Tribolium castaneum: one gene and its partner. The protein of the gene in region 1 purifies or fractionates together with the protein of each later gene. This does not show direct contact. Links are inferred from orthologs where the notes say so. Each region holds a gene or a part of one and is shown on either strand. Other genes may lie near its edges.

The links.
Region 2: the proteins of Rack1 (region 1) and Dp1 purify together in Homo sapiens (affinity purification with mass spectrometry; 3 studies listed by BioGRID and IntAct, with this or other methods). This does not show direct contact. The link is inferred for Tribolium castaneum from reciprocal best matches to the Homo sapiens genes RACK1 and HDLBP.

What each region holds. Positions count from the first base shown.
Region 1 is NC_087399.1:653,464-657,394, forward strand, and holds Rack1 (small ribosomal subunit protein RACK1), read right to left. Parts: upstream 2,670-3,931; 5' UTR 2,600-2,669; coding exon 2,491-2,599; intron 2,339-2,490; coding exon 2,130-2,338; intron 1,927-2,129; coding exon 1,795-1,926; intron 1,365-1,794; coding exon 1,081-1,364; intron 912-1,080; coding exon 689-911; 3' UTR 639-688; downstream 1-638. Other genes in the region: mts (serine/threonine-protein phosphatase 2A catalytic subunit beta isoform), read left to right, coding at 3,090-3,173, 3,412-3,525. UniProt on the Homo sapiens protein: Scaffolding protein involved in the recruitment, assembly and/or regulation of a variety of signaling molecules. Interacts with a wide variety of proteins and plays a role in many cellular processes.
Region 2 is NC_087395.1:19,404,673-19,407,808, forward strand, and holds part of Dp1 (vigilin), read left to right. Parts: intron 1-831; coding exon 832-1,029; intron 1,030-1,086; coding exon 1,087-1,933; intron 1,934-3,136. UniProt on the Homo sapiens protein: Appears to play a role in cell sterol metabolism. It may function to protect cells from over-accumulation of cholesterol.

The DNA of each region.
Region 1 (3,931 bases):
AAAACGTGAAAAAATATAATTATGCGTTCTAATCTAGCACTTATGATTAATTCTTGTGGAAACCTAAACCCGTAATTATTAGAAATTAATAAGAAAAAACGAGAATATTAAATGAGTAATTTATTTTTTAAAGTTTGCCAAATAAATAGATATTTTTTGTAGGTATTTCTAAACATATCACACAGAAATGAACGTTTGCTATTAGATACATTAGTAGCTTTTTTACAATTGCTGAATAATATTCATTAATAACACTTAATAGCTAATATTAAATAATGGCTAAAATATTTTTCAAACCCCCAAAAAGTTAACTAATTTAAATTAAATGGCTCTTGTACAAGAAAAAAAATCACTTGTTAAAGCTCAACTAAAGAGACGGTTAATTAAAAAAAAATATAGTGTAAAATGGCGTGTTATATGCAACCTAATAAACACAAAATCCAACAACAGACGATATATACGCGACCACCAATACACATTTGTGTATTTGGTGAAATACTCAGTAAAAAGTTACTTCATAGCTTCATTCACAGGACATCATAATTGGATTTTTAATCAAACAAAAGAATTTGTTTTCATAACTTTATTTTGTAAAAAATACAACTTAAATCTTATAAATATGTATAAAGAAAATAATATAACTTATTTCCGGATTTATTTATTATTATTATAAAAAATACATCAAGAATTAGTGGGCAGAAATGCTAACTTGCCACACCCTGATAGTATTATCAGAATAGCCAGCAAACAAAGTTTGCCCATCTGTCGACCACGCAAGCGAAAGACACTGTGGTGGTTCAGCCTTGCTAAGCGGTTGCGAGACAACTTCTGGTCTAAGTTCCTCAACCATTTCCTTGCTCTCCAAATCCCAGATCTTGATAGAGGGTCCAAAAGCGGCACACAACCAATACCTTTAACAACGTTCTTCTTAAACAAATCCTAACAAACGAAACGTTTGAATGCTTCAAGCAAAAAAAAATCAGCCCCATATCCGCTAACCTCTCATAGCCAATCAAGTGGTTAAGTTTTGTGTCATCATTTCACAATCACACCGAAATAATAAATCACATCGATTATTACCTGTTTGGCGAAAAGCACAAAGCCGTGATGATATCATTATGGTCAAGTGTGTGCAAGTGTTTGCCATCGTTAAGATCCCAAAGCATTGCTTTGCAATCTTTACCGCCACTTGCACACAAGCTACCATCAGGAGAAACAGTCACAGTGTTCAAATAACCGGTGTGACCTGAATGGTTGATCTTGAGGCGGCAGTTGGTCAAGTTCCATACTTTGACCATGCGGTCCCAACCCGCCGACACGATGATGGGGTTCGAGTGGTTGGGCGAAAATCGCACGCAAGAAACCTAACAAAAAAGCTTAAATGGCAAACTTCCTTTTTCTTCAAATTTACAATTTCATTCACAAAACAAAAACAATAAACAACTAGGCACTGTTTTCAACAATATTTCCGCTGATATTTCTATTTATCTTGATGACATTGCACACGTAACTCATATTTTAAAGCTATTTAATAAAAAATTTCATGCGAGACACAAATTTAAAGTTTATACAGATAAAGAAATAGCTTCTAATAAATATTTAATTAATTTAATGTCCATATCATCCATACCGTCAGAAAATGTAGATTATAAAAAAATAGTCGCCACCCTTTTTTTTCAGTAAATTTAACAACTTTTAACAAGAAAAGAAAAAACATATCTACTACTAATAATGCAGCACTCGCCGTGCTCGTGTTGTAAAGAACTCACGTCGGAAATTTCTCCGAACACTTACCCAATCAGAGTGGCCATCGTCCTGGATGGTATACTTGCACTCGGCCAAAGTGTTCCACAATTTGATGGTCTTGTCGCGGGATCCTGACACGATTTGGCGGTTATCAACCGAGAAAGCCACACTTAAGACATCCTAAACAGATACATTTTTAAGTTTTGCGAATGATTGCTAACACACCCATTGGTAGGACTAGCCTAATATGTCTCACGATACTTACACAAGGGGGCCCAACAGTCAACTTCAGTCGCCGTTAATACAAAAAAAACAAAAAATCTTCCGACTGTTGCAACGTGAGATATCAAAACTGTAAAACGGTAAAAATGTATGTTTCAAACCTTGGTATGGTCCTCAAATCGACGCGTTGTTTTCCCAGCAGCCAAGTCCCACAAACGCAAGGTCTTGTCCCATGAGCCAGAAAGGGCGTAATTACCGTCGCTCGACAGGACAACGTCAGAAATAAAATGGGAATGGCCGTACAAACGCTTCTGGGGCACCCCGTAGCATGTCTCGTCACGTGTCAGTTTCCATACGATCAAAGTCTTGTCTAAAACCAACAAAATCGGAAATTATCCACGGGAAACATGCTCCCGAAGGCCAATTTGGCGAAATTGGGGCAAATTTCAAGCGGATGGTTGCGTAATTCACCAATAAATGGGGATTAGAAAGGAGATTATGGGTTAGAATTTGGGTTCTTACCTCGAGACGCGGACAAAATCAAGTCGGGGTATTTGGGGTTGGTCGCAATTTGCGTAATCCAGCCGTTGTGCCCCAAAAGGGTGCCTTTCAATTGAAGGGTTTCGGACATTTTTCAGAGGACCTTCCTCACACAAGACCGGCTCAAAAAGAAAAGGGAACGGAAGAGAGAGGTGGCTCTGCAGTTGCCAACCGAACAAAAACACCCATTACGCAACGAAAAGTCACTATTAGTCACTAGATTAGCTAACCACACCGGTTGGAGGGCCTGGATTTTTTTACGTTTTGCATAATTTGAAAACCAAACGGTTTTTACAACTTTGTTGTAGCCCCTCATTACAATTTGTGCAAAAAGTGGTACTTGAACATTTACAGTTTCCTGTATAGTTGGTTGTACTTCAAGATTTTTTACCTTTGGTCATTTCTAGTACCAAATTTTTGACGATTTTTTTGTGGAAACTGCGTTATGTCACACCTTTTATTTAATTTATCATGTTTTTTGTTATTTGAACCGGCCAATCAAGCGGCGTGGGCAGGGCCTGGGAAACAAACGACCTTGCTTGAGTAATGTCAACAAAGCGTCAAACTGTCTCTTACAAGCAATGAAAAGCCCCCAAACGCAAAAACCGATTAAATTTCGAACTCCGACGTCCGCTGTGTCAATATTATGCGACAAACCGCCCCAGGTAAAATTCTGTCCGTGATTAATGGAGTTCGATTTGAGTTTCCCGGTCGGTGGTGTGAGTGTACAAAGCCGCCGCTAGAGGTCTTATTAAATCCACCACATAATCGCCATTTTGGTGTGTTCATCCGAGAATAGATAAAAACTAAAATAACGAGTAATTTATGTAGAGAAACAAACCGAATTTCGAGCAGTTTAGTGTAATTATTTATGATCTAACTTATTTTCGTGTGTATGACCAGATACCGCTAGCAATGGATGATAAAGCGTCGTGTAAAGAACTGGATCAGTGGATAGAACAGTTAAATGACTGTAAGCAACTATCAGAAAATCAAGTAAAGACACTATGTGATAAGGTAAATATCGCCCCTTTGCCTAGTTTTAGTCCCTTGAATCGATTCGTGTTCGCTCCAATTAACGCAATTAAAGTGTTTATTTTAATTAGCACCGCCAGTTTACTCCTTATTTACAGTCCTGGTTACGTTATCTCTAATAAAATAAGCACTTTAGATCCTTGGAGCCCGATCTTTTATCAGATCCTCTCAAACAAACCACTGATTCATACCGATGATTACGAATGAATCAGTGGCGGCTCGTGGTTAAACCAGGTGAAGAGCTAACGAAATTCAAAATTTACAACCAAATTTCATGTTTTCCAATTCAAAGTCATAAACACAAGCATTCTATCATTCCTAATATGGCCAGAAATTTCCAAAGATGACTGAGAAACTTCACTAAAAAAGGTGACCTGACTTGACTTGA
Region 2 (3,136 bases), on another chromosome or scaffold:
CGCCACTGGAATCTACATTTAAAAGAATCGAAAAATTAAAAAATTCTCGCGTACGACGCAAAAAAGACCAAAATTATTTCAAAAAATTTCTAAAAAACAGTAATATCCTGTTTAATTGTTGTGCAGTATACTTAATAACCTCTGGAACTAGTCTCTTTATTTCTTTTAACACAACTGCTTTCTCAATAAGTTTTAGCAACTCATATCGCGGATAATTTTATACAAATCTATTTTAAAAAAGTTTTTTGTAGAGTATCATCTAGATTATTTTTTAGTGGTTCGTATGTATTTAACTTATACGCATAATGATAGTATTTTTATAATAACAATCAATATCAAAACCGAAACACTTTTTCTTGATGGAGATAATCCTGTAAATTTGAAAGAAATGAATTTTTTAAGTATTGTTTTAATGTTTTTCAAATTATCGCTTTGAGCTAAGACACTCCTTATATTGATTCTACAATTTTTATTAAATATCGTTATTTTTTAATACAGTCCAGAATTAATTGATTTAGACTGTAAGTTAATCTAGTTAAAGCAAATGGCAAAACTACGGGTCAAAACAAAAGAGGTGTTAAATGAACTTATTTGAAATTTGCTTAAAAAATATGAAATGAAATCCGGTCTCTTGTGATTTTTATTTTCTGAAAATTTATTCAATTTTTTATAATTCTATAATTTTTTGTTTGAAGGAGAATATCAAAAAGTGTACTAAACTTGGGTTTTTATTTAATTATGGTTGAAATCAAGTCCACCTAAATTAAAATTTTGTGATTTGCACATTTTCGGACTACATTGTAACAAACAGCCATTGTTTTGCTATTTCAGGTACGTGCCAAAGCTCAACACCACAAGTTCCTGATTGGCAAAAACGGTGCCAATATTAAGAAAATCCGCGATTCGACTGGAGCTAGAATCGTATTTCCTTCAAGTACCGACGACGATCGAGAGATTATCACAATCATCGGCAAGAAGGAGGCCGTGGAAGAGGCTAAAGCGGCCCTCCAAGCCACCATCAAAGATATCGTAAGTTGTGTCTTCATGTTCGAAATTTTGACAACTAAAAAAATTGATTTACTTTAGGACAATATTATCGAGAGCGAGATGTCCGTGGAACCCCGCCACCACAAGCACTTCGTGGCGCGTCGCGGCGAAGTCCTCCACAAGATCAGCGACGAATGCGGCGGTGTGATGATCTCCTTCCCTCGTTCGGGCGTCGACAGCGACCGCGTCGTCCTCAAAGGCTCCAAGGAGTGCATCGAGGCGGCGAAGCAACGCATCAACGAAATCATCCAAGACCTCGAATCGATGATCACCATCGAATGCGTCATCCCGCAGAACCACCACCGCACCGTCATGGGCGCCAAAGGCTTCAAGGTGCAAGGCATCACCTCCGACTTCGACGTCCAGATCAAATTCCCCGATCGGGAGAACACGGAAGAATACCCCGGCCATGGGCAGTTGAACGGCGACATCAACGGCGGGCCGGTGCGCCAATGCGACGTCATCCGCATCACCGGTAAAGAAGAAAACTGCCTTAAGGCGAAGCAAGCTCTCTTGGATTTGGTCCCGGTGACCATCAGCGTGGACGTGCCCTATGACTTGCACAGGTCGATCATTGGGCAAAAAGGCCGCGATGTGAAGGAATTGATGGACAGATACGATGTCCATATTGTCCTGTCGCCGACTGGAGTCAAGGAAGATGTGATTAAAATCACCGGAACGCCCAGTAATGTCGAGCGGGCTAAAGAGGCGTTGCTAGAAAAGGTGCAAGAGTTGGAAGCCGATAGGAAAGACCGTGAATTGAAGGCGTTTGCGTTGAAGATTGAAGTCAATCCTGAGTATCATCCGAAGATTATCGGCAAACGTGGTGCCGTTATCACGAAAATTAGGAAGGATCATGACGTGCAGATTATTTTCCCTAAAAAAGGTGAGTTTGTTTTTGTTTTGTGTGTTGGTAAACATTGCGATGAATGGACGTTGTTTACGTTAAGTGGGTTATAAAGAGTTGCTTTTCATTGATATAATAAGTGGCGTAATGTGAGCATTAAAAGCGGTGGAATTATGGTTTGTTGTTGGTAAAGCGGGAGTGGGGGCACGTGGCAATTGAAGTGTTGTCAAGCGAGTCGTAAAAGATGTGCTTTTTATAGTTTTCTAACAACTATATCATTTAGACTTTCTTTGAGATTTTGTATTGAATTATGTGTTAACCTAATTAATTTAATCGAAGAATTACGTTTTGGGTGATAAAATGTTTAACAATTTAAAATTAATATAAATTGTTTTCTTCGAATTTTTTTATACGTTTTTCTTAATTTTATTCGAGCTCCTGTTGGCCATAACTGTAAAAAATTACCAAGTCAAGAAATTAAACTTTTTCACAAATTTAATTTAATTTTAAGACCGCTTTATAGAAAGCTCTATTAAAATTTTATGCGCTGTTCATTCCGTGATTGGTTTAACTTAGTCACGTAATCAGCAATCATCTAATCAGGCATTTAATTGCGGATTAAATTAATATCGCTTGTATAACCGAAATCAATGTTGTTTTTCTTCAAATACAAATGTTATAGTTAGGTAGAGAAAACTTCGAATTTTCCTTAAAATGTACTCGTCTTAACGAAAAACTTAAAATGTTTGACTTTATCACTTGTTGCAGTAAACTTATACGTCGCATTTTCTCTCAAAATTATTTATGCACTTCAAAAAAATAATAACTAATGTAATTTATATTTTTAACGAGAGATTAATAACTGTTTTACAATTTTATGGATCTTATAATTTGGTGAAATGCGATGTTGGCGTTTTTATAGTTTTGAAACAGAACGATATTTTCTTTAATTTCAGTTAATCTGAGCTTCGGATTGCTTCATTTTGATACTTAAATTTTCCTAAAGAAAGAGATTTGAAATTTTATGATCGGTTTTTCAATCTCACATTATGTTCATGTTAAAATCAAAATCTTGAAATTCGACCATAACTCTAGTTCATTTGTAGGGAGTTCTTTGATTTATTTATTGATTTTTCATGTCTTTTGGACTGTTTTTCAATTTTGTGTATTGAATACAAGTCGCGAGGAAAACTGTCTTCTTGCAATATGAAAACTAACTAACTAATTTAGGTCTTTTAGTAA